Medicago truncatula: one gene and its partners. The main gene of each other region encodes a partner of the protein of the gene in region 3 in a complex. Links are inferred from orthologs where the notes say so. Each region holds a gene or a part of one and is shown on either strand. Other genes may lie near its edges.

Region 1 (8,029 bases), on a different chromosome or scaffold from region 3:
GAGAGAGAGAGCGAATAGAATATGAACAAATTCGCCGACCTTAGGTCGGTGGAGGCCGGAGAAGTCTGCCCCGGGCGAACTGGGTGACAAAAGAGAGGGGTGTGCCATTGGCGGTGGTTGAACGTGAAGACGGCAAATTCTTCCTAAAAAAATATATATGACAGTGGCACAGTGAGCTGATGACAGTAGCACGGTGGTTGTACTCGTAGATCTGGTTCCTTTGCATTCTACCTTCTTTTTTTTACGGTGATTCCTCGAAACGGTTCCAGCTTTTCTATTCTGAGGTTGTTTGACAAACTTCGGAGACAGAGCATTGAAATTTTTCTTTATCACTGTTTGTTTTACACACAAATAGTGTAATTAAGATTTAAATAGTAGAGTACATGCATGAAGCATCAACGTCGAGCTTCTTTTTACATGGATGAAGCATCAACGTCGAGGTTCTTTTTAGAATAACTTAGAAGGAAAAAACGATGAGTAAAATCCAGAAGAAGACACCACGTGACTTTTTAAGTGAGTGAATATGAGACGTTAGATTAAGAGAAATCAACAGCTATTATTTGGTGTCAATATAAACATTAACACCTGGTGTCAATGCATCCTGACTCAACTACTTATTATAAAATAACTTATTACATTTTTAACGGGAACACATCATTTGTTGCTCTTTAACAAGTTAATATTTTTTTTATTCAGATCATTGCTGGCTGCCCACAATGTTCCCCACTGACAACGTGAGAATAATCTCCGCTTGCCCGGGGACAAAGTAAAGGCTAGCTAACACTTTTTTTTTCTGTACTGTTGATTGCAATCAGATTTCGTTATTATTAGCTTTCGTAGTTCCCTTAGATAGTCGGTAACTGATTTGATTCCAAAATTATAGGATAATGTTTCCTTTTCAGATTATATTTCACTTGTTATATGTGTGTGTGTACATAACCCTGTAAATATTAGTGAAATATTTAGATTTAATTTAGCCAAAAGTGTTAAATCTAAGTACAGTAAAAATATACCTGAGCAGTTCTTCACTTTGAAATTGATGGACCTTCAAGAATACATCTCCAAATCTCATGTAATAAAGCCCAAGCAGTGCTCTGCCAAATTCAACAAGATAAATGGCAAGATATGACCAAATTTAACATCACTTTGAAGAATTGAGGGGGAGAAAAACCTTTCAATGCAATTCCTTAAAGCCTGAGAGAGAGCGGCTGCAACTTCTTCTGAATCCCCAGGAGCGAGCCAGAGCCCAGACGCGACAGCTTCATCCAAAAAACTTTCCCGTGTAAGAGTGTTTTCAAAAAACACAGAAGTATAAAAGCTACAAAGCCACTATCTTTGACGAAAGAAATGTATACTGTAACATCCCGGTATCTATAAATGGGATTGTTATATTATTAAATATTTGTTGTATATTGTTTGAACTTTATTATTTAACGGGGTATTACATATATGCCCAATACAACAGTTCTGTTAAGTGTGATACCTCGTAATCCAGTTAAAGCTGGCTGAGCAGTTTCAGAAACTGTTAAATGACGCCCCGGAAGAAAAAGCCACAGCTTAATCTTTTCATCTGCATGTTAAGTACAGAAAGCAGAAATTTAGGTAGCAAGAAAATGGATGACCATTTCCGTTCTTTCCTTTTGCTAAAAAGACAATAAAACTGTAAATAATCACAGATGACAAAACCAATAAGTCAGCAATCTCTACCAGGATTATGCAAACCCTGAGATGGATCCCACGGTCCAACAAAAGAATTGGTCCATGCGCTGAGAAATCCTTCCTTCTGCAGTTGCAAATGTGATGAAAGCACCACTAACATTGCAGCATCCTTCTGGTCCGCTTTTACACTGTTTGAACAGAAGATGGCCCATAAATAATATTAAAATAGTGAAGCAGAAAGAAGGAGAGAAATAGAAAATATATTCCAACCTTTTGTCAGGTAGAGGGTTCAGATCAGGTTCGTGAGGGAGAAACTGAAACCATGATATCTGATGCAGACTACCCTGTACAAATTTCAAACAATATACACATAGTTATATAAATATAAACAATATACACATAGTTATATAAATATAAAGACAACCAAATAAATTGTGAACAAAAATGGAGGAGCATGGAATATACATTAATTTATGGTAAAAGCTAACTAAACAGCAGCATTGAGATTTAACCTTTTGCACTCATTTCTAAAAATGATATTATTCTTGGAGAAGGAGATTTGACCTTGAGATCTTTCATTAGACTAACAGACAATTTTTCTTCTATTTTATATATCCTAGTGCTGTCAATCGCAGAACGATGAAATAGCGGTTTGTTCAAACTCTGTTATGCTATACCACTATTTGATAGTGCTTTTTACTAAATCGCATATCGGGTAACAATAGTAGATTGTTAAAATTCCGCTGCGCTATAGTGTCACAATTAAATCGCATATAGCGTAACAATTGTAGTTTGTTAAAATTCCACTACGCAATAGATCCACTATTTGAGAACAATATTATGAAACCAGGTGGGCCAAGACGAAGGTTGATATCGATCCACAACATTAATTGACATGATCGAGCAAGTAAACAATATTTTTGTCATCATCCTAGCATTAATACGAGCCGATACTTTATTGTTCTACTAATGTATTTACTATTTATTTTAAAAAAATAAAAAATAACAGTCGGATAGGACACGTGTCGCCTCCTAGTAATTTGGTCACCCGCCGAACACCTTTCTTGCCATATCCGTGTTATTTATTACACACGGCTTTTCATTGCCACTAATACCGATCAAAAAGAAAAGGAAACATCTTATACATAAGACGAGTTCTTGATCAGGCAATTCACATACCAGCTAGGGTGATATAGCTAACTCGCAGTTTCATTAACATAATCCAACAGGACCAATACCAAACGTGATTATGAAGGCGACAGAAAGTCACAATCATCAGTGTTCCAGCCCATGGCAACCAAATATCGAATGACGTAGTTACTTAGCGAATACGTAATCTCTAGTAAACCCTAACAACGCTTGATCGGGGAAAAAAATCATAATTCCAGTATATGATGAAATAGAAAGAAAAAAGCAAGTAACATAATCAAATAAGTTTTTCATTTGTATAAAACATATATCTACAAGAAAAATTTAAACATTCACAAACCAAATCTAACTAAAACAACACAAACACCTTGTGTGAAAATAAACATGAGATAATTTACAAAGTTTTCGGTTCATAAACAAATTAACCGACTTAATCATCATGAGATTAACTACAGCTGAAAAAATGAAAGCATGTTTTGTGATATACTAACTAGGTTAAAACGAAATTGAACCCTAAACTATCATATTCCAGCTAAACACGCAAAATAATGAGAATTGGTGAAGAAGAGTATTGAGATTAAGAAGAAATAACGTACGATTTTGAAAACGTTGGTCCACATAGCTGATGAACGGTTCCGGTGAATTGAATAGGGTTTTGGATCTGCGTTAGGGTTGGGTGAGACTTATGAAGCGTAAACGTGCTTCTGCTCTAGAAAAGCGAAACGGAAAATGCGAATTCGGAATCTGATTCAGAAAATGTAACACTGAGTTTGATTTGATACTTACTTCGCTTACCGTTTAAACTGAAAAGCGATTACGAAAATCGCTTCATTCAGCATTCCCGCAAAGATCACTCGAGTGTAGGGTTTTTTTTTTGTTTTCTCGATAGAGTTGAAATTTGTGACCGCGCTTAACTTAGTTCCAGTATTCATGACAGAGTTAAGAGTTGTTGGTGTTTATATATAGCATTGAATTAGACTCAAGGTATTTTTTGGACAATGTTACTTTTTATCGGTGTCAAAAAAAAAAAATACTAGTATTTGTATATCGTGTATTTATTCATAATTGTTGTTGACACATTGTATAAAGTTGTGTCACACGAATAATTTACTGAAATGTTCATCGGCAGTTAAGTGTCGAATTATGGAACCGATTGCAGTTAATTATCATTTTTAACCGTACGATAATATGTTAATTGTTATGTTAATATTTTTTCTTGTTAAAACTTGAACCTTTAACAATTTAACTTTTTTAATCTTTTAGCTCAAACCAGTTTAACTAGTCAACGATCTTTTGTTTAATTGGTGCGTAAAATCTTTTAACTTTTAGTGTTTTTTCAAAAATAAAACAAAGATAAACTAACTAAAATGACGCAGCAATTGATTGTCGGGTCAAGAGCTTTATAGTTTGAGTGATGATTTGTGTCACTTACAAATAAGAAAGAAAATTGATGTAGCGTGTGTGTTTTTTTTTTGTATGGTGAGTGTTTTGTTACAACGATTGTTTTTTTTTAGGATTGCAACGATTCGTTAAATAATAAATTATAAATAACTTTATAAAAGGAAGAAGTCATTGAGGATTCATGTAAAAGAGATAACCACAATCTCATTGAGTATCAATAAAAAAATAACAACGACGACTAAAATATGGTTAAGTGGCTCGTTGACTCAATAAAAGATGGTGGGAACATACCAAAACACCCTTGAGGCTTTCAAACAAACGTGAAATTGCAAAAATACCCTTTAAATCTTTCATCTTCCTATTATCCTCCCTCTCCCTTATTCCCCCGTCATCCACCACCACTTAAATCAAACTCAAATCTCTGCTCCTCTTCTCAAAGTCACAGACACATATCTCAAGTTAATGATTCTCCTTTCTTCCTCCTTTGAAGCCTTCTTCCTTCCTCCTTTAAAGCTTTGTTATTCTCCTCATCTTCCACCATCCATTTTGGCACCTCCAACATTTTACCATCAAAGGGTCGTCGTCCCCCCTTCCACCACCAGTTTCGACGCCTCAAACATAATAGTCCTCGGAACCCAGTTAAGAAGAAGCTTGCAGAATCTGGACCCACCATCGATTCTTAACCTCATCGCAGCTTAACACCACCGTGTCGGTGACTAAGTTTCGATTTCCTACCAATTTAGAACTCACCCCATAATTTCCTCACTCATTTCAATTTTATGTTCTTTAAACAAACTATTTGCTTCTTCTTGCCTTGGATTGGGAAAAAATGTAAATTGAAACCGAAAATGGATAACAAGATATATATATATATATATATATATATAGAGAGAGAGAGAGAGAGAGAGAGAGTTCAATTAAATTCATGCAATTGGTGTTTTGATTTTGAGATGATGAAGGCATGGTTGGAAAATTTCAACCACCGTGCTATATGAGTGTTTTTTAGATGATTTTGACAATTAGTTTCTTGTTAGTGGATTTGTAACAAAAAAATTGGATAGTGTTTTTGGTAATTGGCTTGGTGTTGTATGAATCAATATATATGTCCCTTCTTACGTTCTCACACACGATCTCATATATGACTGTTCATCTTATAAAAAATGCATACAATTGTTGACTTTATTGGCAACGTTGTAGGGTTTACGATATTTTTTTTTCTTCCTATAAATATGTTGTTCATTCTCTAAACGATTTGATTCATTTCATTACACAACCACACATTTATCTTTAAGAAGTTCTTCTTATGTTGTTGCGACAGATTGTTGGGGATCAAGTTCCCTGCTTTGAAATTTGTTATGTCTGCAAACCATGACCTTCCACTGATAGCGAATAACTGTTCATTTGGGAACTCTGCTACAATAGTTTTGTCTTTCGTGGTCAACTCTTTATTTTCCAACCTCGAGAGGTGATCCACCACTACATTCTCTGCTCACTTCTTATCTCGAATTTCCAAGTCAAACTCTTGCAATAAGAGTATTCATCCTAACAACGGGGGTTTTGAATCCACTTTAGTCAACAAAAATATTTAAGAGCCGGATGACATGTAAAAACAATAATAACCTTGAAAATAATTAGATAAGATGCTGTGACATGCGACAATAATGTGACATAATGACTAAAGCATGATCAAAATAAGTTAGAGTATTAGTTTATTACAAACCTGAAATTTAGAGAATTTGAATGCGACAAAAATAACATCAATCTTATTACAAACTTCAAACTTAAATCACAGTTTAGACCGTTAGCTCAATCACAAAATTGTCATAATATTCATATTCCATCGATCTGTTAAGAAGTGCGTGCGTGCGTACTTGGTACCCAGGGTTTTTGTGTTATTCCGGCGCGAGCTCGAGTGAGAAAATGCAAGCTGCAATGAAGCAGAAACTGAAACTCCTCTACAATTCCAACTTCAAATCTCTCTTTACACTCTCATCATTCAAATTTCATTCTTATTCCTCTCCGCTAAACTCATTACCACATTCTTCCACCGCCACCAACTCCTTCACCACTCCATGGTCCATCATTCAACGACGTGGAAACAAAATCGTTGGTTCTGATGTACGCATCGCATCACCTTCACCTTTCACTGTTTTTAAATCTTTACCGATTCTTATACTTTTTTACATTTTTCACTGCAGATCAGAGTCGGAAAAAAGATCGGAAAACAAGGTTACTTTGCTTTTTCTATTATCATTCAATTGAAATTTCGTATTTGATTGTTCATTTGATCAATTTCTTACGCGTATTTAGTTATTTTCTTCTTACTCACAAATTTTATGGCTTAATTCCAGGGCGCATTTACGAGGTAATAATTCATTTCTTGACGAGTTGTTATCAGTTTCTATTCATTCATTCAATGTTGTTATTGAAGACTTTTTTTTTTTTATTTTTTATTTTTATATTGTGAACTTGTTCAGGTTCTTAAAGTAGATCATTCTCATGAAGGACGAGGAAAAGCCACACTGAAGGTTTTTTTTCTTTCTTTTTTCTATTCAAGATTTTACATGTTCCCAATCATTATTTATCAGCTCACAGATGTTATCTGCTGCCTGTTTGGATTGACCTATCATGATAAGTGCTTACGTATAAGTTCACATAAGCTATTTCTATAGCAAAAGATAAAATAAAGAAATTGTTTTTGTATATGCTATAGGTTGTTTTTATGAGTATATCAGAGCACTTATGAAAATAAGTTGAAAAAAGCTTTGAAAATTGTCATAAGCTGTTTTCTTAAGTTCTCCCATACAGTATCACAGAACCTATTTCAGTAAATAAGCTCAAATAAGCTAATCCAACCTTTATTTGAGGTTATCTATTGACATAAACACCTGTTTTCAGCTCTCTACAAAATAGCTTATGAAAATAGTTTATAGCTTATATGAAAATAATTTAACTTTACTTTATCTTTTGTTATAAAAATAGCTTATCATAAGCGCTAAGTTGCAAATTAAGCCGTATATTCAAACGGGGCCTTGGTTTTTCATCCATTACTATTAGAGTTTGAAATGTAATGCTGTGATGTGTGCATAAATGTACATTGCCTTTAATACAAAATTAGCCAAGTGAATACTGAATATTAACGTGCAAGTTATATTTTAAAAGAATTATTACTATTTTATATATTTACGATGGCTTTTATTTGACCTATGAGAGGCCTTTTTGCCATAAATTTAAAGGAAAAATGTATTTTCTTATTTTCTGCATTTTATTTCAGGTAAAATACTTGCAGGGGCACGGCCTCTCATGTTTTAAAATATTTCCTTTTTTCATTAACATATTTGGTTATTGTGTGTGTGCGTTGTAACAAGACACTGACTTGGTATTTTGGCCATTTGCTCTCTGAGTCTTTGAATTTATATCTTTGGTAATTGCTCTCTCTATCGGTAAATCTGTGCCTTCTGCGCTGCATACTTGACACATAGAACCAACTTCTTGTTGCAAAATATGCCATGCTAGATTTTGTAATCCACCTCTCCCTTTGGTAGGAAAGTTTTAGTTGTAGATTACTAGATTTACTGGCTTGACCGAAATGGCGAAATGTTAGAGATGTATTTTTGCAACACATGATTCATAGGAAAACAGTTTTCCATGAAGCAGTCTTATTGAAGGATTAGGATCAACTAATAACTGATGAATACACAATTTTTCGTACCTTTAACATAGATATTGATACATGATCTCAAAGGATTATATTGTTTAATTTGATCAAGTAATGATTTTTTTAAGAGAGTGTTGATTTAGGTTTTATTCTAACTTACCA
Region 2 (8,220 bases), on a different chromosome or scaffold from region 3:
ATACACTACTGCATAATGATAATAAGTGTGATGCACATACAAAAATGTTGCAAGAGATATCAATAGAAGCAAACAGTTACAGATCATAGCAACAATTACAGACTTAAGAGAAAAGTGAGATATTAAAAATATCATTGTCCAAGAATTAGAGTAGAATAGCTTAAGAAATAATTGAGATGATGAATGTAAATGACTGAAGCTAGCTCGGTATTTATAGTATTAATGTCGAGTAGGAATGATGATATGTTATTTGGAAATTGTTCCATATCAGAAACAGTGCACCACGTAAAACCAATGGCCACATTGCATGTGCAGAGAAACTGAAACAAATAAAAGGGAAGGATGCAAATTGGATATAACATGGAATACGAATGGGTACTTATAACAGGACTTAGGCAGGAACATACATAGGAGGGAATGATACTATGGTTGGCGGTTGAGAATTTGACGTAGGTTTTGTTATTGTTGCAACCTATTTTAGTAATTTACCAATCATAGCAGAAATAAATTCCTGTCCTGAATGCTTTACTTGTTTTTAGTTTGTTGACAGACCAGGGAGAATTCGAGAGTCGTCTAATTTTTACCTAAGCAACAACTTTTCGTGTTGGTTTAAAGATTTTCAGCCCAGATTTCTGATAATATAGCAGTAACGAGGAAAATCTTAGTGAAATAACAAAGATGTTGCCTTGTCAGTTATCATCTAGCAGTGACATATTTGTGTCAAAAAAGCCCCTTTATGTACAAGTGTTGTGCTAAGGATATTGTCTTCCTCAAATTTGTAGCAACATTTCTTCTGCTTGTGGATCTAATCTATCTCCAGATGAGAAAGCATGAACATAGGGTCACATGACCATGTGCATTCAGAGGATCCAACTCAAGCAGTCGTGTGGCTGCACGTTTAGCAACATCTGCATCTGTTTTACTCATACCACACACTCCAATCAATGCCCCCGAAGCAGTCGTGCGAATTGACAGATTTATTCTCAATATTGTAAAATGCTATTCAAAATGATCCTTCTGTTAGCTTCTATCATTAAAGATTATGACATGTTATGTTAACTAGATATGTCCCCACGTTGATCCAATACATGTTGTCAACTTATTAGGGACTAAATAGTTTACGAAGTAATTTATCAATAATTACAAATATGCATGAACTAATTATTGATAAATTAGTCCCAAAACTCCATATAAATTTCAATATAGACAAACTAGTTTATACTTCATAGTATGGTGACAATGATGTGAGATTCTATGTCATACAGTCTAAGGGTAATAATCAAGTGACTATTTTCACAAACATTTTAGGGTTAAATATGTTTTTGGTCCCTATAAATATGTCAAATTTTCGTTTTAGTCCCTCTAAAATTTTCCTTCAACTTTTAATCCCTATAAAGTTTTCAATCTTCACCTTTGGTCCCTCTTTTAAAGTAAACTCATATGTAGAATTCATATTATTTAATAAAATTTTCCAGAAAAATTCAAAATATTATAAGAATGACTCCAAAAAAAATTAATTTTTTTTTTAACAAAACATGAATTTAATATGAATTTTTATATTGTTTATGGTTAAAAATTCATATTTAATTTGTGTTTTGTTAAAAAATAGAATATTTGACACATTTCTGCACAATTTCATTACAAAATACAAAAATTAAATTAAAAATAGGGACCAAAAGTAGTGATTGAAAATTTTATAGGGACTAAAAGTTGAAGGAAAATTTTAGAGGGACTAAAACGAAAAATTGACATATTTATAGGGATCAAAAACATATTTAACCCAACATTTTACTATTACATGAATTTATTTGTTAGTTCACAAAAACCAAAGACTGTTTTAAGATATGCTTACAATTTTGGATGATAATTTACTACTCGTCTTAGATATAAGAAGAAAAAAAATCAAACAAAGTAGATATATATGGTTCAAATCTAACTTGTTTTGACTTTTTCTTCTTCTTATAGTATCAATCATGTCTTAAATATGTCATTCTTCATTGCACTTTGATCATATTTTGACATTAATTTCTACACTTTTTTGTATTTGACATTGGTCCATGCACTTTATAAAAAATTTACAATTGGTCTTTGTGTTAAGTCCAAGTTAAAAAAAGGCAAAGCTAACGTGTGTCATGTGAACCAATTATTACACGTCACATAACACACTAAAAGACAAAATTTTTAGAATTAAAATATTCCGAAGTTTTAGTATGAGTCTCTGCACTTTCAGTACTCTTTTATATTGGTCTTTTCACTTTCATATTGGTCCCTGAACCCTTTATTTATTTATTTAAATCTTTCAAATATATTATTATATTTGTTATTATTTTGTTCATTATTTTTATTGAGAATAATTATAAAAAATTCCCCTAAAAAGTTATAAAAAAAAAATCCTTCTTAAAAAACGAATAAGCTTTAATCGTATCACATCGTCACCTTTTTCTATAATTAACCATTATAGATTCTTTAGTAATGGCAAATCCCCATTAAAGTTTAAATCACCATTATTTATACAATATGATAGTGGCCAGTCGTATGACAAGTAGACAGACACAACAATACGATTGTACGAAAAAGAGACAAAATTAAACAATATGTCATGAGAATTCTTAGCTATTAAACATGTAAACTTGGAATAATAGTTGAATTATTATTAAATATTTTTTTAAATTTAATTTATTATTAAGAAATCATTTTTAGAGCAAATTACATTTTCCTCTTCCCATCATAGACGGGTAAGGATCTTATCCATTTATAAAAATAAATGAAATATACAATTTGGAGAGAGATAGAGATATAAAATATGTAGTGGATTATTCTTTACTACTTTTTTGTGTGTCTTTATCTCTTCAAATGGTAAAAATGAAGAGGATTTTAACTCCTTAAACATCCTCTAATCGAGTTAAGATCCTCTTCATTTATAAAAATAAATGGAGAATGCCATTTAAAAATAGATACACACATAAAAAGGTTGGGGGCCTTACTATTAAGCGAGTCCCACCATCATTAGTTTTTATTTTTATTTTTATTTTTATTTTTCATGTGTCATTGTCTCTCCAAATGGTACAAACCGAAAAAGACATAAATGGAGAGGATTTCACTCCCTCCAATCTTACATAAATATACATTACCCTCTCTTGAATGCTAAATATATACAAAAAAACAGGTTAGAATCCTCTCCATTTATGTGTTTCTCCATTTCTTCAATTTGGAGAGATAATACACATAAAATATTGAAAAAAGTAAAATATAATTAATGATGGTGGGACCCACTTAGTGGTAAGACCCACCATCTATTTTTTGTGGAGCAAATAGTCACTTTAGTCCCTGATTATGTAGCTCGCTGTCACATAAGTCCCTGACTCAAGATTAAATACAAATAAGTCCCTGACTCTGCACTTCCGTTATCACTTTAGTCCCTGACGTTAAAAAAATCTGTTAAGTGATGATGTGGCGCATATGAGGTGCACAGGGACCAAAGTGAAAGTAGAAAATGGTCACTTTGGTCCCTGAACCAAAAATCAATATGCCCAAATTGAAAATAAAAAATCCCTAAATCTTAAATTCTTAAATGTCATCTAATTATCTCTTTTGTTCAAAATCAATCTTTCATTAAACACCAACATACTGTTAGGTCCCTGACTGTGCATACTTACTATCAGTTAGGTCCCTGACAGTAAACACGAAATTTCACTAAAGTCCCTGGCTATTGGGACATTTTTGGCTTGAAAGCTGATCTTGAGGCAATGGTATGTTGGGCTAAAGTTTTGGAGTTTTTTAGTAGTGCCATAGTGTTGTGGTTCCGTTACCTCTTTCTCCCTTTAGTATATAATGACATCAGGATTACATATATAGATAAATGAATTATGAACGGTGTGTTTGATTATAATCCCCGTAAGTATTTTAAAGTCATAGCTTGATTTTTTTATGTGTCTTTAAACAACAGTATCCAATTTTTTGTGGAGAGATTTGAATAACTAATGCATATTAAGTTACATGAAAGAACTTATGCTTTAGTTGCTTTAGCTTCTCATGAAAGAAAAAAATTAAAGTGAGAAATTTGATAATAAACTTGGAAACATAAACAACTTATGTTAGATGTAGCACTAGTACCTACTATGTAGAACAAATTTCAAGTTAGAAATTATGTTAAAAAAAATCCAACATAAATGAATTATCATTTGAATATATCTTGAGCTCTTGATTACTGTGTATGCTGAGATCTACGAGGTAGAGATATGAATTATCACGTGAATATAACAATAATCAAGAGTAGTAGATGCTATTGGATTTGTTAATTCATTTGTCAGGGATCTAACTGATAGTAAGTATGCACAGTCAGGGACCTAACATTAAGTTATGTTTAATGGAAGATTAATTTTGAACAAAAGAGATAATTAGATGACATTTAGGGATTTGAGATTTAGGAATTTGATATTCAATTTGGGAATATTGATTTTTGGTTCATGGACTACGATGACCATTTTCTACTTTCACTTTGGTCCCTGTGACACCTCATATGCGCCACATCATCACTTAACAGATCTTTTTAACGTAAGGGATTAAGTGATAATGGAAGTGCAGAGTCATGACTTATTTGTATTTAATCCTGAGTCAGGGATCAAAGGGACAATTTGCTCATTTTTGTGTCTATCTCTCCGACTTGCAAAACCCAGAAAAAAAAACAGCAGGCTCGCGTTTCCTTTCCTTCATCTTTCCTTTCCTAACCACACACGCGTTTCCAGTGTCACGAACCCAACAACACCACCACGTCCACCGCCCACAACCGTTGCTCTCCTCTCCTCTTTCAGGTCAGTTTTGAAATTATTATACTGAAATTGAATCAGATATTGAAATTGAAATTGAATTAAGACAGTGATAGCAGAGCAGCACTGAAATTGAAATTGATTTTAACTTTTAGTGTTGCCTCACTGTCACTGATATTGGAAGCAAACCACTGTTTCATAAGAATCATCAATGCATTCAAAAAGTGATAACACATCATTATATGATAATGTGAAACCATATCAACCACAGTAAAATCAGAAGAAAAAAACAATTTCAATTGAGTTAATCAATCATCGAAGCTTCTGTTTTATTGCCACCTAAAAGGGGGAAAAAAAAGTAAATGTAAACCATTGTGATTTGTTTCGTTTGACTTGATTTATTGTTGATTGAAAACTGAAGGATTTGACATATCAAGTTGGATTATGTTGGGAAATTGTGTTACATTTTTCTGTTGCAAATTCTTTTTCAAACAAAGCGTTTTTATGGATTTTTTTTTTTTTGAGGAATAGGATAATCATGGAAACTGAAAATGTGGCTACTGCGAGTTGGTGCAGCTCCTCTGATGTGTGATTAACCTTTTATTCTATTCTGCAGTACTCTATATTTGTCTGTGGTCTAATTTTCGAGAGAGAACAAGAGTTGTTGCGTTGCGGGGATTGGGACGGACAAACAGAAAAGGGAAGAAGAATGGAGGGTGAGTTGGTGCAGCAGCCGCAGCCACAGCAGCAGGAGAGATTGAACCAGGCAGTGCAGCAGCAGCTAAACCTAGAACAAGTAAAGACACGTGCTATCAGCCTGTTCAAAGCTATATCAAGGATTCTCGAAGATTTTGATGCCTATGGTCGCACCAACACCAATCCCAAATGGCAAGATATTCTGGGTCAGTATTCCATGGTCAATCTCGAACTCTTCAACATCGTTGACGATATCAAGAAGGTCTCCAAGGCTTTCATAGTCTATCCCAAGAATGTCAATGCCGAAAATGCTACAAGTATGAACACATAATATCTCATATGTATTGTACACTTTTCATCCATTCACATTTCAAATCACCGTGACAATGTTTTATCAGTACTGCCTGTTATGCTCTCCACAAAACTACTCCCTGAAATGGAGACGGAGGACACCTTGAAGAGAGATCAATTGCTTCAGGGGATGCAGAACCTCCCAATTGCCACTCAAATTGACAAATTGAAGGTTATCTCCCCTTTCCACTTCACATCTACCTTTCCTCTTCCGTCTTCCCTCTTCCCTCTTCATTCTTCATTCCCTCTTGCAGGCTAGAATTGATATGATTGCCGCAGCCTGTGAAGGTGCCGAAAAAGTATTGGCTGACACTCGTAAAGCTTACTGCTTTGGAACTCGTCAGGGCCCTGCCATTGCCCCCACTCTCGACAAGGGTCAGGCTGCCAAAATTCAAGAACAGGAAAATCTACTCCGAGCTGCCGTCAATGTTGGCGAGGGTAATAATTTCACCTGCTTCCGCCTTGTACTATAATAAATATATTTATAGATATATCACAACCAATGGTCACTCTTGTTCTAAATACATATTAAGATCTAAAATTTCTTTCATATGGATAATTCTGCTAATGTACATTTGTCACTGTTTGCATTAGACTTGGTTTAGCTCATAAGGACTTCTTGAGTACAAGAAGGTGCTATTGGTTGGCTTGCCTTGAATAAAGTTTTTGTTTGTTGAATTTAAACTTTCATACCAATGACTCTCTAAATCTGTATCTTTATGGTGATTTTTTTGGATATAATGGAACTTCATGCAGGATTGCGGATACCTGGAGACCAGAGGCATATAACTGCTTCACTTCCTATGCATTTGGCAGACGCATTTACGGTCAACGAGAGTGCACAATCTTTTCCTGACGGGTCTAGCAATAGTAAATCACTCTTCTTAACTCTCCATCTCCAAAATATTTTGATTTTATAATTTGACTTCGAGTGGCATTTATATATACTATTACTTTCAGATGTGTATATGAAGAATACCCCATTGTCATCAAACAGTATGGGCGGCCAAAATTCGTTGTTACAGGTCTGGTCATTCACATTTCGATGAAGGTTTTATGAATGGATATTTGACTATCTTCTTCACTCTTGTTTTTTAATACTGTAAATAAAGGGTATATGTGAATTATGGTTACTTATGATTTTGGATTTTCTTGCTTCAAATGATTTGCTTTCTACCTTTTCATATCCGGTTTCGCGATTTTGAAATATTCTACGTCATAGTCTCATATTTTAATTTTATATTTGAAAACCCATCTGATCCTTATTAGATTGAACTTGAAGGACAATAAAATTTGATAAATTGCACAGCTACTTTAAGCGGCGCTGCATGGTTGATTCCTCATCTAACCCTATTTTTTTTCTATAGATGAGGGGCCACACATACACATAGGGAGGGGGAAGGGTGGAAAACCTGGGATCAAACCCAGGCACCCACATGAAACCTCCTCACAACCAACCACTAGACTGTAACAATGGGGACAGACTAATTTATTGGGAGAAGGCTCAAACTCTCACCTCATCTGGCCTATTTGATTTTTACCTCTCGTGCACTTCCCTCATTGCCGAACTTTTAAACCTATGGAATGAGAACTAATTACTTCATTTGGTGGATTGAAATTATGAAAAATATCGATTTTTCTAGTCGTAAGTTTTTTAATCTTCTCACATTATTGCTAATGTAGACATCGGGATCACAACTTTTGGGAAGATCAGCTGCATCTCCTTCTGCTGCAACCAGCGCCACTTCTTTTGACAATACAACAGCTTCACCAATTCCATATGCCAATTCACCTAGGTCTACTACAAATATGATGAATACGCCATCCCCTCAGCAGCAAACCCCACAACCGCAGCCGCAACAGCTAACAGCACAACAACAGCAACAACAACGGCAGAAACTAATGCAGCAGTTACCTCAACAACAGCAGCAACAACTTCTTGCTCAGCAACAATATAGGCAATCTGCGATGCAACAAGGACTGGGGCAGGTAAATTTTGAAAATAAGTATTCTTCATTGAGTGAATACAGCCCTGAAATGACCTAAAAGACTAGTTAAAGTAGACCTTGTTTACTTTGTGAAAAACATTTTCTATTTTCTTTTTCTAAAATTTGTGTTAATTTTTACTTGTTAATAAGAAGAATTGAGACTCTTGAAGTGAACCATTGTGATGGAGAGAAGATTGAATGCTAGTTAGAGATGATACATTACTGGAAATAACTAAAACAAGTCTTTTCACTTTTTCATTGTTTCCGAAAAATATAGAATTTTTTTCACTTTTAAGAATCTTTTATCTCGTTAACAATTAAAATTAACACAAATTTGAGAAAATTAAAACAGATTTTTTTTTACAAAGTAAACGGGACCTTTTATTGTTAAATATTAAGTTTTCTAACTTATGTTTTTT
Region 3 (8,167 bases):
TTAACATACGCAGATAATGGAAAATACCTTGAGACATAACTCTTTTAAGTATAATCAGGTACTGAGCAGTTTTTTTATTCAATGAATATTAGCATTTCGTTTCATCTTAATTTTAAGGTGAAAATCAGGTAATCCACATCCAGTAAAACATGGAAGCTGCAATCTAATACTACCTCCGTCCCTAATTATAAGACTCTTTTGAGAATTTTTTTTGTCCCTTTTTATAAGACCCCTTTTCTATTTTCAACTACATTAATTATTTCTTTACATACATGCCCCTATTCCATTATACATCTTTTTCTTCAATCAACAATAAATAGAATGTTGAAAACATAAGCCAACCCTCTTTCTTAAAGGATAAAATTGTAAAAACAATAGTAATTACAAACATATTTAATACAAATATCCACTATCTTAATTCCCGTTATTTTTTCAAAAGGGCCTTGTAATTAGGGACGGAGGTAGTAACAAATAAAATCTCATATAAGGTTCATTACCTGTCTGAAAAGAATTACAGGCTCTTATGGCTCAGATCTGACAAGCTCCTCTACAGATTTTGTGTAATTGGCAATCAAATCTCTGAAATAGAAGAAAACAGCATGTATTTAGAATCTATGGACTTAACCAAGCAGAGATATTTAATACAATTTGTACAGACCTTCTTTGATTTAGCAATTGCTCGCTTTCCTCCAGCTTCTTCTTCTGTCCCTCAACGGTCTGGATTAAGCAACCGAAAAGCTATAAGTTAGGCCAAGAACCCCGGCTTCAAACTACTAGCAAAAGACTTAACTTTTTAATGGTTCGAGGACAATCACATTGAGAAAACTGAGAGCAGACGAATCATTCTTCTTATTAATAACATCAGCAATTATTGTTTATCATGCACAGGGCATGTTATTAAACAAAAAGGAAAATGTCAAGAAATCAGAAGTGGAGCTTTTGAGATGAATAATAATACATTGAATTTTGAATACTTTGATTTTCAATAAAAGCTTTCTAAATCTTGATTCTTTAACAAATGTCTTAAGAGTCCTCGACTCCTCGTTATTAGAAGGACCGGAAATAAATATTAAAAACAAAAATCTGACTATCTATGAAGCCAGGGCTAAACAGTATTAACAGAATGTCAATTTAGACACAAAATCACACACATATCTATGAGAGTACGTATTTAGAGTTACACCGAAATACTTCAATTAGTCATTGATTTCTCTCAAGTGGTTTTTCAATTAGTCACTGATTTCTTTTCTTCTCTAACATCACCTTCCTAGTTTGTTTGTTACTTTACACGAAAAAAAACAGCTTAACCTGCAGAAATTTATGAGGGCCATATTTCTTGAGTCTATGTATTGCGTCATTGAAATCATTTGTTTTATTCATTCCTTTTCTAATCATCAAGGTATGTCATATACCATGTGTTTCTGTCCATCGAGATAATGATATGAAAACAAAGACTAGGTATAAAATTTAAAAAAAAGCATGACCAATATTTCACAATCAGATGCTATAATCGCCAGAATACCCAATTATTTGTGGTAAGATCAAAATAGAACTTTCAAATCGAAGTGTTGTCAAATAGCAGCTACAGCGCTATAGCATAATGGAATTCAGTGTTGTCTATGGCAGAAGGCTGTATGTGGCAGAGAACCAAAGTCCCACCATACCGACCGCTTTGTGGCGCCGTCACATCAGATTATGGCATAAAATCCCTCCATATTTGCCAAAATTGGGCATTGCGGAGAGCCACAAAACGGCCACCAATTTCCTCCATGGCTGATATTCGATAACAGTACAGGCGGAATATGAATAAAACGCTATTGTTCGGCAATCAGCTATTTACTACAAAGTGTTGTCAAATAGCTGCTAGTGTGGCGCGATAGCTCGGTAGTATAGGGAAATTCAAACATAAGACTATTTTCCGTATTCCGCAATTGACAACACTGGAATGAACACCGAAAAGCCCAATTTGACTTTTTCACCATCAAGATTTTTTTTTTTTGAAACAGCATAACATTAATAGCCACGCACCAGAGGTGCAAAACGGCGAGGAACTACAAGAGGGGCCGAAATGCTCCTTCCCAACCTGATGCCAACCGAACAGACAGCAGGAGGAAAAGGCACCCCGGGAAAACATAAAAAACCAGAAAAACCAAACTGCAGTTACGCTAAACAGAGAGAAACGCAGCAAAAACCCCCATCCACAACTGATATAACAGACCTGTAGCTGCTGCCAAATCCACCTACCTAACCGCATCAAGATTAAGAAGAGTGTGTAATCCTTTTTATAACCATAATCGATGGCTTGTGGGTATAGGCCTTTGATGATAATCTAAAGGTATCGCTCTCCATTTTTTAAAACCTAAGCCATCTCACATGTGCAGGCTCGAGGAGTATCACGTGAGTAATAATAGTAATCAATCACAGTCATTACTAATAACAAATTTAAGGTCAGGATTTGTAGTATCACTAAATACTTACTCCTAGAGTCAACGAATCACTTCTCTTTATGTACTTCGCTTAATAGCTTATTACTATAAACATTGAATTTTACCAATACAACGGCTGACTATTTTCTTACTACATTGATGATCAAGCACACAAAATAAATATATTAAATCAAATCAAAGCATAACAAAAGGAAGTAAAGAAGAGATACCATAGCTTTGGTGCTAATAGAAGCAGAGATTGAGTTTAACAGCTGCTGACACTTCTCAAAATGATTGCTCAATTCAGTGATCTTCAACCAACAAAATTAACATAATGAGTAATGTATTCAAATTCAAATAAATAACCATGAGACGAATTAATAAAAAGCCTTATGAATCAGACATGACACTACACTCTGACACCCGTAAAAAAAAATATTGATTAAATAAATTAATTCAACTTAATCACATGTGTGGGTGTCGTATCATAAGTGTGAGTGTTACATAGAAAAAGTCATACCAATGCATCTGATTGCTGATCCGGGTTTCCATGTTCAACAACCTCAGCCAAATTCTCCACCAACTATATCCACAACAAGAAATCTTCAATTAATTAAATAAAATGTGAAAATAATTGAAATTAATTAAAATTAGGGTTTTTGAAGGGGTTAACATACATTTAAGAGATGAAAGTGAGAAGCGAGTGATTGATGAAGATTCTGCTGCTGTTGAGGTTGTTGTAGCTGTTGCTGTTGCTGTTGCAGAATACGTTGTTGTTGTTGCTGTTGATAAAGTTGTTGCTGTTGTTGTTGTTGGAATTGAGATTGGGTTGTTTGAGATTGTTGAAAAGGTTGTTGTTGTTGTTGATGAAGAAATTGTTGTTGTTGTTGAAGATAAAGATTTGGGTCTTGATTGGATTGAGATTGAGATTGAGATTGAATTTGGGGATTGGAATTAGGGGTTGGGATCATCGTCCATGTTCCTCCGGGAGAAGAGTAATGTTCCATTGCTCTATCCTTACACCTTCGCTTCAATTCGATCCCTCTTTTAAGTGTTCTCCTCGATCTCTAAATAACAGAGACAGTTGACCCAATTACGCATACGTAATTTTGAGTTTAAATATCTTGAATAATATATTAGAAAAAATTATGAAAATTTGATATTTTGAAAATACTCATCGAGACGAATCTAACGACATCTTATATGATATTATTTATCTTTGTATATTAGTAGAAAAATATGGTTAAAATAAGATAGATCAAAATTACACATTTTCAAACAGGTCATTTATTGCAGGATGGATGGAGTATTTTTTAACCAACAGAAACTAAAATTTATAGTTCTTTACAAAAAAAAAAAAGTTTGCAAGTACTATTTCTATATCATTAATAACATTGTGATTTAATTTTTAGCATCAAATAGAATTGGATTCATAGTCTTGGTTAGATGCATCTCTTACATTATCTACAATAGAAATATTTAGGTCAAAGTCAAACTCAATATGTTCATGATGATTACTACTTGAGTGATGGTTTACCCATCAATTCCAAACAACTTATCTAAAGATGTATCTAGTATTTGCAAATTATTCAACGCTAAAATTAAAGGTACTAATTTGTGAAGCTTGCTCGCAAGAGAGGAACGTGTTCTAGTAGTACTTAAAATATATTAAATTATGAGATTTAACTTTTCTTATTAAAATCTTATTATTTTGTTATTATTTTTTATGGACTCCGATAATTTTGCAATTTTTTTAACACATTCGTTTTTTTGTCAAGACATTCAGTTTTATTTTATTTGTTGAAATTCATATAAAAGACAAAAACTAGTGAAATTTATTTGAATTTTAACAATTAAAAATGATTGTATTATAATAATATTAAATAGAAATGAGTGTCCTATCATTTCTTTTAAATATTTGTTTGAAATTCAGCCGATCATTTTAAATCTTATAAATCATAAATTCATTTAAAATCCTATAAAAATTATAATATCAATCCATTTAAATTCTAATCAAAAGTTCTTACAAATTTCTAAAGTTCTACTTTAAACTACTATAAGTAATTAGAATTTTAGTCTTTCACTTCCTCCGTCTTATTTTAATTATTATTTTTGGGTTGTGCGCGATTCTTTAAAATAATTAGTTAGATTTTTTTAGACAAATAATTAGTTAAATTGATCACAATGATAAAATGAGTATTATTTATTAAAATAGTCTTTTTAATTATTATTATTGTTATTAATAAAATGATTAAATGAGGTGAAATTCAATAAATAAAAATATATTAATAAAAAATAATAATGATATTTTATAGCCACCATTGTTTTGAGATTGAGTAAAAAAAAGTAAAGTAACAATTAAAATGGGGCCAAAAATAACCAACCCTTTATAAATCATAAATTAGGACAAAAACTGTGTTCAAAATCCCTTCATGTTATTACCACCAAACACAGCCGCAGGAAAGAAACAACACAACACCTCCTGATTTCAAGGTCCGAGGTACAAGGAAACATTAAGGTTTAGATTCACTGTGTCTGTTCAATTCAATTCTATTTCAATCCTCAAATAATCATTTTCTAAAGGTTTTTCATCTTTCAGGTTTCATCATATCAACCTCCATTTTCAATTCCAGGTTTCACTATTTTTCAATTTAATCCCCCCCCCCCCCCCCCCCCCCCCTTTTTTTTCTTTTTCTTTTTCTTTTTCCTCTTAAGCTTTAATCAACTGGCTGCGTAGTATATATTCTACATGCCATCAAAATTGTATGTTCAATTGTTTTGTTAGATATTCATTCCTAAAGAATTTGATCAAGATTATAAATTGGGGCAAAATTATGTTTTTTCTAGGGTTTATTTAGCTGGGTTGATTGTGAATTTGTGATATTAGAAGTTAATTAATACTGGAAAATGAAAACAAAGAGGACTTTTTTAAGTTTTAACTTATCAATGCTTCAACTTAATTCATGTTCAATGAGTTTGAGAAAAAGAGGTTTTTGTACAATGCTATTTTTTTTTACACCCTTATAATTTTCATTGAGTTTGGCTTATGCTTCCACATTAGTCCTTTTCTCCCGACCCTGCCACCCATATGATGCAACTATGCAAACCTTGCAGACTAGTATAATGAGAATGAGATATCTTGATTGATGGCCAGCGCTGTCCAATAACGGCTATTTTAGCGTTATAGCGCAGTAGAATTTGAACAAATCGGCATTGTTCCACGATACGCCATTTAGTACAACATTTTGTTAAATAGCGGAGATGATAGCTTTGTTGTGTAGTCATGTAGTGGAATTTGAACAAACCGCTATTATTTGTGATTTCCTCTTGAGTTTGAGCCTCCTAGGATACTTCCGTAAATCATAGCCACAAGAGAGCTCCCTTTCTCCTGAAGTTACTGTGTCATTTTTCCGAGTTCCTTCGACATGGTTCTCTGAAGCGCCTTGATGACACCGGAAGAAATAGGACAAATGGAAAAAAAAAAAAAAATGTTTCTGTAATGATGATGGATGGGAAACATTGGAATTGTTGATTTAGTTTTTTTGTTGTGTTAAAGCTGTTTTGGCTTATGATATGTGATCTTTCAGTAAAAAAAAATAGAGAGATAAAAGCTAGAGTCCACCAATAGACAAAGTTGTTTTGGACGATAGATGTTAGCGAAAACCAATTCTGATGTACTTTCAACACCAACCTTTTGCTTCAATTAAGCTTTTGTTAGGCCTTCCATACTTCAGATCTTCACACAAGCTTAATTGAAGCAAATTTAAAATGTTAAGACCATCAACTTCTGATGGTCTTAACAAATTCTGATGTACTTTCAACACCAACCTTTTGGAGGCTTGGGTGCGTTTGTTGTCATTTTAAATTTCCAGGATTTTTTTGTTAGGCCTTCCATACTTCAGATCTTCACACAAGCTTAATTGAAGCAAATTTAAACTTCTGTAAGGGATTAGTCTTTGAGGGGTTTTTTGTTAGGCATTCCATTCTTCAAATCTTTTAACAAAAGCTTAATCGGAGCAAATTTAAAATGTTGGCAAGAATACATTATATCATAAAGTGAAGTTTGATCACTCTCTATTTTGGACTCCAGGCTTACTATATCATAAAGTGAAGTTTGATCACTCTCTATGTTGGCAAGAATACATTATATCATAATGTTGGCAAAACTAACTTCTTTTATCTTTTCTTTTATCATGCTGTGTATGTCTGGTACAACAAATTGGGTTTGAGCCATGGAGCTTGATAGAGAAGAAAGGTGAAAACCGATAGAGAAGGAGGAAGGAGAAGGAGTAAGGGAGAGAAGCGAATTAGAAGGGGATAAAATATCATGTGTAATTAATTTTATATGGAGCATTAAATCTGAACCGTTTAATTTGAACTAAATGGCTATAAATGAGTCCTCTCATCCTCTCACAATAACATGTCCTCTCATTTGATACATCCCCTATATATATATATATAATGAATTTTCATCCATTTCAGGTTTGTAAATAGTAAATCATAGTCTCTGTGCATTCATTTAGGTTGTTAATGTTGCTCGGTTGATGGAAACCATGATGGTGTTAATGTAGCATGTCATGATCATCCTATGTTTGTGTCGTGATTTGTGAAACTATTTAGTTTGAAAAGTATCAGTTTGATCTACATTTTGCAGGTTACCCCTTTCTTAGTAGCTATGGCAGTAAAACCAACAGTTGCATTAAGAGCCATCCTTGTTGGAGGTATAGCGGCGTTTGCTAAAATAGCAGGTGCAATGAAGGCTGCAGGTGGTGTAAAGATGGGCGCGGCTGCAGCTGCCATGACAGCAGCAGCAACTGCAGCTGTGACTGGTTCAAAACAAGAGCAAAAAGATCCTTCTCAACAGTCCACAAAATAACTATCTTTTCCAAAGTTCAAAGTAGCATAGTTCAGTATCTGCTATTCGGTTAGTTGAACCGAAAGATAAGAGGCCATATGCGAATTATAGTTTTTACAGAAGATACTGTATTAACCTCGTCGAGTCCTTGTAGCAAGATTTCATTAAATTTGTAAAGTTCCTGTAGTTTAAGAAGTTATGAAGATTTGAGACAAAGCTAAACACCAGCTGAGTGGTTTTTTAATCTATTTTTCAAAATTTGAATTCGCCAAGACATGGGTTTGGTGTGAAGTAGTTTTGTATACATTTGGTTCGGCTTCCAGTTTTCAATTTTCACCTTTAAAGGGTCATTTCACCGCAATTTCTCGGAAGCCACAATTAGTAGCTTCACTTTGGATGCATTTTTATCAGTGTTCCACTCTGTTGTTTACTATTAATGGTAAGTTTTAGTAAAGGGGGTTGGAGTAGAATGTAATCTTTTACAAAAAGAATAAATTGTACACAGTATGCACTTGATCTTTGATTTTGTAAGACGAGTGGATTTACCCTATTTAATCTTGTCATTGGGCTGATTGTGATTATATTGCTCATTTCATTTTTAAAAGGAGGATGGTACACATAATTTGACACTTTTTGTAGCATTCTTCATAATTATTTTTCACCTTCCTCGCTACTAAACACTTTATTTTTCACCAAAATCAACTCATGCACAATTACTTTGGAAACACCAACTAACGTAATAAACTACTACTAATCACTTTGTTACATCTTTACATGCAAAAAACTCTAATGAAAAAAGATTTGTCCCTTTATTGATCATCACCTTGGAAATGAAGTAATGGATTGGAGAGAAAACCAAAAAGCTGTATACAATGGTAAAAGAAAG
Region 4 (7,564 bases), on a different chromosome or scaffold from region 3:
GATAGAGACAGAGGTTAATACAACAAACCTTTCTCAAAGAAGAGGCTTGCTCTTCCAATTTCTCAATTTCAGCTTCGTCCATAGGGCTGTCAGCTGAACCACCGTCAAATGTGTTTGCCTATAATACTAACCAAGTTAGTTTAACAGGAAAACAAAAGCTTTGCTAGCTAATATGATGGTCATACAGCTCGCAATAAGATGCACGTTTGTGAGTCAATAACCCCGATCATTTAACAGAATATGGAGTCTTAAGTCTATGTAAGGAAGACACTGATTTCTGAATAGAATTTTCTTTTAATGCAGCATCTTTTTCCTAGCAGTATAATAGAGGTGCAATAATATAAAAATAGTGAGTTCGGAATTTATTTAGTAATTTACCACAGTCTCATGAAGTTTTTCATTTAGTCGCTGTTAAGATTTTCAACCCCATTTTAAAAAGACATCAAACCAAACCTTGGTGTAAAGAGATTTTTATTGTCTCTTACCAAGCCAGAAAGATATCTAAAGGAATTGAAACTCACAATTCATTAGCTAAAAATTCAGAGAACAAAACTATAGCTAGTTACTTATTGAATTTAAGCAGTTTAAGTAATAAAACATAGTCAAAGTCAAAAAGCAAAATTCATTCGTTAGCCCACTCAATGCTCCAATCGGTGCTGCAACATTATAAGGTTCTATAAATAGGAGTTTTCAAATTTTTCATCATGTTACGCTATTACCGGAATATCATGTGTTAAACTTATCTGTGGTATAAATTTAAAGCCCTTGTGCATATGTAGAAAAAAATACCATCATGTAGTCGTACTTCATTTCTAAGATTTCAATTTATATCTCCGAACTCTGAAACTGAAGTATTTTCAGATTTCCTCTCAAGGTGATGAACTCTGAATCTGAAGTATTTTCAGATTTTCACTCAAGGTGAAGAAACTCATCCTAATACCTCCTGCTGTCCTTTTCTATTAGCTCATCCTAATATCGTACGGAAAGCCAGATTTGAAGCAATATGAGGTGTTGGTAGATCATCACAGATTAATGTTGGAAATTCCGCCTTAATTGCGGTCCGCCCCTAGTCGCCTAAATTGCGACCTTTGGTTAGCCTTCATTGCAGCCTCCAACACCTTCATTGTGTTGGCTTTGAGGGGGTGGATTTAGTCCCACATTGGATAGATAGCCCTCTTGAGAAGAGTTTATAAAGAGGAGGCACTCTTCACCTTACAAGCCGGTTTTTTAAGGATGAGTTAGGCCCCAAATTTCAACAATTAACATAAATCACATTTCATATTGGAGTTGTTCTATTTATAAAAGTTCAAACGTAGAGCGAGTTATGACTCAATACTCCAGTTGAGCACATGAGTTGGCAACTATGTTCTACTTGATTGGGAGATCCATCCCAGTCAACAACGTTATACACGACTGTAATTTTATGAACATTGCCTGTGATATATACTAATACTAATACAAGCCGGTTTTTTAAGGATGAGTTAGGCCCCAAATTTCAACAATTAACATAAATCACATTTCATATTGGAGTTGTTCTATTTATAAAAGTTCTAACGTAGAGCGAGTTATGACTCAATACTCCAGTTCACCACATGAGTTGGCAACTATGTTCTACTTGATTGGGAGATCCATCCCAGTCAACAACGTTATACACGACTGTAATTTTATGAACATTGCCTGTGATATACTAATACTAAATCCTTCCTGGGAGAGACCTTAAAGTATCACAAAATTCAGATAATTGCATCCCAGATATCACCACTAGGAGAGTTATGAACTTATGAAACTGACTCACAACATCAATCGCAAAGAATATGCCAAAGCATGGCCTAGTCACAGTGACCACTAAAGGACCTGTGTGATTTACGAATTTCCAATTTTTATCAATAATTACAAAAAATGTCACATTGCTTTCATTCCCTTTCCTATTTTGAAATATTCGGAAAAAAATTTGAAAGACGTACTGAATTGTTTTTATGGTTTCCTATCTAAATATTATAAAATAGAAAACAAAATAAGAACAAGTATATTAAGTGTGTGCCAAAAAAAGGGAGCATATTAAGTGATAACCTATATTTATTGTGATACATATGAACCATCAATAGTAGCTGTTTAATCAAAGATTCAAAATCAATGTTTAGGATTAAAAAAAATGTAGTGATCTTCAATCTTTCCCCTTTGTTCATTAACCTGAACAATACTATCCACTCTGTCATATGAACACGGTATTGTATGCTCTAATCGATGGTCTCTCATGAGTGGCATTGCATAATTCTATCCATTACCTATCAACGCTAAGACTACCCTACAATTTTTTTCCACCTTTTATTTAATTGAATTAAATGATTATAACCACGAGCTTTTCATTGATACAAGACTGTGGCATCTTTGTTTTTGTTTAGTCTCAACTATTTTTGTGATTTCCTAATTTTTTTACTTGGCCTGGAAACAATATTTTTAGAAAAGATTAGAATCAAATTACATTTTGAAATTTGATTAAGCAATTCATTGTAGCTGCATCAAAGAAAGATGAGCGCATATGTCAAGCGAGGATGAAGGTAGGGGATGAGAATATGGAGACGCGTGACATTTTAATGAGATCAGACCATTAATTTCGATTGAGCGGCTGTTATTTAGAGCTTGTGCAAGAGAAGCATGAGTTCTCACTTGATTCTCTCTCCTATATATAGCAAAAGGTAATCTGTGTGTCGCATCGATGAATAGTTACTTAAGAAAAAATAAGATTAGGAATACAATCTTTACAATGAACTTGGCAACTCTTATTGCTGCAGAAAAGAGTTTAAAAATTAAGTTTTGGACTTGCCAATTCATTGATTTTCCACTAACCTAAAGTTCAATGATTCAAAAAATCTAGATCTAGTAACAAAAAGAACACACAATAAAACCCGAATTAGAAAACTAGGGATTCGAAATTGCACCTTCTGAGAATTGGGAATAGCGGCAAGAACACTCCGAAGTCCAGCAACAGCATCTTTATACCTCAAACGAGCTTCATCAAGAGCTCCACCAGCACCACCACTGGGAGCAGCGCCGTCAGCGTGTTGGCCGGAATTCTCGGAATTGGCGTCACCGTTTGAAGAAGGAGCATTGGGAGAGGTAGCAGAGGAAGGAGAAGTGGACCACCAAACGGGATTGCAAAGCTCGTCGTTCATGGAAGATAGTATCTTGAAAGCATGTTGTATGGTTTCTTCTAAGTATTTGTGACCTTCAATTGCTAAATCTTGTGTCGTTTTGGTTGACATTGTGCCGTTTATGGATTGTTCTTCCATTCCAATGCGAAGTTTATCTATCTTATGAGTCTCAGGAATTGCAAACCCTAACTTTGATCGTTATCAATGAGTAGAAAAAACAAAAGCATGGCGGAAAAAATTAAAAATGAGATGAAAAAAGAAAACGTCGACAGCAGGGTTCGAACCTGCGCGGGCGAAGCCCAACAGATTTCAAGTCTGTCTCCTTAACCACTCGGACATATCGACTGTTTTGTCTATTACGATTAAATATAAGTATATATTTACAACTATGATTATTATTAAAATGAATAATAGATTTGAAAAATTATAAAAATATAAGTTATAATGTATATGTTGAATCTCAATTAACCCAAATGATTTGCGGTGAGATCAACTTGAACTATTTTTCTAAACTTTTTCGGACAAAAATGTTGTATAAGAAAAGAGAGTTGTGACATTTCATTTTCTTTATGAGGTAAGATCTTGTCAATAGTGTATCGTGATAAAAACCCCAAGTTTGTAGAGATAGTGAAGGATGTAGATTTCAATTATGAGTAGTTGGACTTTATTTATAGGAGTTGTCACCCTAACTTCCTCTCTTATTATTTAGGGATCTTCTAGAAATCACTCCACTACGCAATTAATATCATGTCAAAGGATCAAAGTGGTTTGACTGAGTAAGAGAGCTCTCAAGATAGTAGTAGTATGGTCAAATATGAGGATTATCATATGGGTATGGGTCGAGTACAAAGAGCATGAAGCAAGCATGGGTCAAAATGGGAATATTTTTATGACAATCCACAATCCCCCAAATATAAGACTTGTAAGGGAAAAATGGTTTAATGTAATAAGACGAGATAATAAGAAATATATGATTGTCCACATTTATAATAGTTTCAACAATACGAGGTGGAGTATGATTCAAAGCGAGGCAACGAGGGATGAAACAAGGTGGAATATGATTCAAAGCGAGGCAACATAGGATGAAACAAGGTGGAATATGATTCAAAGCATGACAATCGGGGATGGAATTTGATTGCCATGATTTGTTAGGCATCGAGCCTAAGTCCAATCCATTAGATGTTTGACCTAGTTAGAGGATCATCGTCTCTGCAACAACCAGCAAGTAGCGACTTTTAATACGAAGACAAAGACAAGAAGCAAGGATGGAAGGGATTGCTACCAACGTTACAACCTCGATACTGAATGATCCGACTCCTCAAAGATTTATCCCTTCCATTACGTATACCTCCTCAAATAGTAGGAATGATACACAATTATACTCTGCTTACCTTTCTCTTTGGATTGAAGGACAAATATATAGTTCTAAATGTTATTTATCGCGACATAATTCAAGCAAAATTTTCACGAAAAGAGTACTGCATGTATTTACTCACTTGTATTGCACCCAAACATCGTGTTTTGCGCAAAACAATATATTATGATTGATATGTATCTTATCGTGATGTCTTCACGATATATCTCTCGTAGTATATAGGAAAGCTCTTATAAGTGTTTGTTTTGAAATTTATGGATACCATCAACTACATTTTATTTTAATCAAACTAAAAAATGACAATTGAGATCTTTCACTTTTGTAATTATACTATTGGAGTCATAGTCTTTAATTTTCGTGGAAGAACTTAATTAACCATCTTTATTAAGATCTCTCTTTCTAACTACATTGTTTTGACAAATCCTAGACCTTATACATTATATTTTTCTTTTGTTATGTGGTGAACAATAACAGCCTTTCAGAAAGGATCAACATTTCAACAGAACAATCGTCACCTATGGCTGAAAAAGAATGGAGCAAAAACATGATGCAGTGAGTGGATAGAAGACTCCATAAAAATCATGAGTTTGATACTTCGTCTTCTCCATCCTCTTCCTCAAACTCACACTAACACCATTCCCAAACTCAATTCTGATAATAAACAAAAGTTCCTACCAAATCTCTTCTCTCTAGCCATTGCTGTAACATTAACATCTCCACTACCTTCTCATGCAATCCCTTCCCTCAATTCTCAACCCCCTCCAACCACTCTTAGTACCACCCCTTTTTCTCAATCAAAAAACTTGCAACTTGGATTAGAAAATGGGTATGCTTAACGGATTCTATATAATATATGCTTCATAATTAATACCATGGATTCTATATAATATTATTTGTAACCTTTCTCTTGCAGAAAAATTAGACCTTGCCCATCAATAAATCCTGGTTGCATATCAACAAACCCGAAGTCATCATCTTTTGATTTTCCTTGGACGGTTCCTGAAAATTCAGTGGATAATGCTATTCAGGTTTCTAAGCTATTACTCAGAGTTCAAAAAGCATTGTGTATTTTTATTATCTCATGTTGTGATTGTTCATAATTTTCTTTTTCAGAGACTACGTGAAGCAATTCTAGAGACTCAGAAAAATGTGAAATTTCAGCCCGTGGAAGATACCCCAGATGGTAATTCAAACACAGTTCTGTTTTTGATCAATTTACCATTGGTGTTGTTGTTATTTGCTAGAAATTGTAGCCAATTAGCAATGAAAATGTAGAACATGATAATTAAATAATATTGAAGTATAAGAAAAAGAACCATCAATTGAGGGACTAAGATGACGAATTTTATATATTTTAGGGACTATTGTTAAATGGACTCCAAAAGCTAGCTCATCAAATGAGGGAGTCCAAGCACTACTTATATACAATGCCTAGGTTCGTTTTCCACATGCCCTACAAAATTCAGATTTGAAGCCTTGTCAAATGAGCTTGAATCTCACTCTCAAAAATTAGCTGGTAAGATGAAGGTGCACAGACACATATGCACACAGCACATTGCACAACTTAGGAACACTGTCAATGTGGGATTCGAATTCAACTTCAATACTTATAATTTTTATACGTTTTCAGGACTAAATTGAAGAGAGTGTGATAATTTAAGAAATAAATTGATGGTTTATTCTTAGACTCTAGTGATGAACAAGGAAAGTTGTAATATATTTTATGTATTACGTTATAAATGATTTTATCTAGGTCAGGCCAAAGACAATAAGGAAGGGTTAATTGTTTTACACAATGTTTTAAAAACTGAACCAAACTAGACAGTTCAATTGCTTGAATCGTGAATCAGCACTGTCTACAGTTAGGTTATTTGAACGATCCGATTGCAGTTTCGTCTATATCTGAGCTGTTTAAAGTTGTTGAACCATGACCTATAGGTCTCTCTGATTTGATGTATGGTTCAGTTAATTAAAACATTGGTTTTACAAGCTACTAGGCAAAACTTGATTTATGCTAAAATGAATATACAGGACAGTATCTGCAAGCTGAAGTTGATGGAAAATTTGATAGAGACGTACTTGAGTTTCTGGTGAAAGGTGATGTGGTTGCCTTTAGGTGTATGGCAGCAAAAGTGACTTATATATACCCTTTCACTACTGCATTTGGAGATTCAAAGGGTCAAGAAGCAAGACTCAAGCAAATTAATGATCAATTGGGCTGGTATGCTCCCAGTTTTGATTCCATGGAGTAGTTAATGTTTCTATTTTATGTTGCTTTAATTCTTTGGTTTGTGTATAGCTGAATGCCTTTATTATTACATTCTTCCTTATTATATACAATTTCATGGCCTTTGTTGTTTTGCGGCTAAGCTTAATGCTTGTTATTATAAACAATTTTATAAATATTTTGTTTGATAGCAGTTTCTAAGGATGTTTGTGTTAGCTTTTGCCGCATTTAACTTAGCCTAACCGTTCGATGATTATCTTAGTCCGAGCTATTTTTTATTTCAACCTACTACTTATTCATTGTTTAGCATTTCCAATTGCTCTTTCCTGTTTTGACTTGAAGTTATTAAGGCTACTTCTTTTTTAGAATAAGATGAAAAAATAACCTGTCTATTGTGACTTGTAAGCTATAACCTTAATACACCTTATTGCCAAGTTTTTTTAGGAAAATATTAAGGTTGGTTGAGAATTATTGTTCAAGTATTATTTCATGAACATTATGAATCATGCTTCAAAAATCATCTCCCCAAAACATACTTTACATAGGACTAGCAGTAGGTTGTCAGTTATGTGCCTTATCCATTGTTCATCTTAGAAAACAATTATCAAGATCACGTCACAGCATCAAAAAACTTGGATTTGACCACATTCCTTTAGTTGTTCTTTCTCCAAATCCAGTATTGGTAGATGCTTGAGGTTGAAGTGGGAGTGGTGTAGCCACAATTGTGTGTAAGGATCATCACAAAATGGTACTTCAACTTGTTCCCTCACATATTTTAAATCTGTTTATGATTGATCAATATTCAAGGTT

The links.
Region 1: mediator of RNA polymerase II transcription subunit 9 (region 3) and mediator of RNA polymerase II transcription subunit 13 share a complex: the UniProt entries of both Arabidopsis thaliana proteins name them as parts of the mediator complex. The link is inferred for Medicago truncatula from reciprocal best matches to the Arabidopsis thaliana genes MED9 and GCT.
Region 2: mediator of RNA polymerase II transcription subunit 9 (region 3) and mediator of RNA polymerase II transcription subunit 8 share a complex: the UniProt entries of both Arabidopsis thaliana proteins name them as parts of the mediator complex. The link is inferred for Medicago truncatula from reciprocal best matches to the Arabidopsis thaliana genes MED9 and MED8.
Region 4: mediator of RNA polymerase II transcription subunit 9 (region 3) and mediator of RNA polymerase II transcription subunit 30 share a complex: the UniProt entries of both Arabidopsis thaliana proteins name them as parts of the mediator complex. The link is inferred for Medicago truncatula from reciprocal best matches to the Arabidopsis thaliana genes MED9 and AT5G63480.

Annotation. Positions count from the first base shown.
Region 1 is NC_053044.1:41,139,420-41,147,448, forward strand, and holds the start of mediator of RNA polymerase II transcription subunit 13, read right to left. Parts: upstream 3,749-8,029; 5' UTR 3,595-3,748; exon of another isoform or gene 3,470-3,594; 5' UTR 3,429-3,469; coding exon 3,405-3,428; intron 2,004-3,404; coding exon 1,930-2,003; intron 1,848-1,929; coding exon 1,708-1,847; intron 1,571-1,707; coding exon 1,484-1,570; intron 1,260-1,483; coding exon 1,172-1,259; intron 1,095-1,171; coding exon 1,014-1,094; intron 1-1,013. Other genes in the region: elongation factor P, read left to right, coding at 6,130-6,327, 6,408-6,438, 6,561-6,574, 6,687-6,737. UniProt on the Arabidopsis thaliana protein: Component of the Mediator complex, a coactivator involved in the regulated transcription of nearly all RNA polymerase II-dependent genes.
Region 2 is NC_053046.1:4,594,918-4,603,137, forward strand, and holds the start of mediator of RNA polymerase II transcription subunit 8, read left to right. Parts: upstream 1-4,645; 5' UTR 4,646-4,811; intron 4,812-5,382; 5' UTR 5,383-5,475; coding exon 5,476-5,779; intron 5,780-5,860; coding exon 5,861-5,985; intron 5,986-6,067; coding exon 6,068-6,251; intron 6,252-6,569; coding exon 6,570-6,683; intron 6,684-6,773; coding exon 6,774-6,838; intron 6,839-7,496; coding exon 7,497-7,802; intron 7,803-8,220. UniProt on the Arabidopsis thaliana protein: Component of the Mediator complex, a coactivator involved in the regulated transcription of nearly all RNA polymerase II-dependent genes.
Region 3 is NC_053049.1:5,734,828-5,742,994, forward strand, and holds the start of mediator of RNA polymerase II transcription subunit 9, read right to left. Parts: upstream 3,494-8,167; 5' UTR 3,434-3,493; coding exon 3,104-3,433; intron 3,010-3,103; coding exon 2,947-3,009; intron 2,738-2,946; coding exon 2,657-2,737; intron 718-2,656; coding exon 659-717; intron 580-658; coding exon 522-579; 3' UTR 498-521; intron 1-497. Other genes in the region: uncharacterized protein, read left to right, coding at 7,102-7,302. UniProt on the Arabidopsis thaliana protein: Component of the Mediator complex, a coactivator involved in the regulated transcription of nearly all RNA polymerase II-dependent genes.
Region 4 is NC_053044.1:48,895,071-48,902,634, forward strand, and holds the start of mediator of RNA polymerase II transcription subunit 30, read right to left. Parts: upstream 3,363-7,564; 5' UTR 3,291-3,362; coding exon 2,940-3,290; intron 119-2,939; coding exon 29-118; intron 1-28. Other genes in the region: thylakoid lumenal 17.9 kDa protein, chloroplastic, read left to right, coding at 5,109-5,353, 5,441-5,555, 5,641-5,710, 6,559-6,779. UniProt on the Arabidopsis thaliana protein: Component of the Mediator complex, a coactivator involved in the regulated transcription of nearly all RNA polymerase II-dependent genes.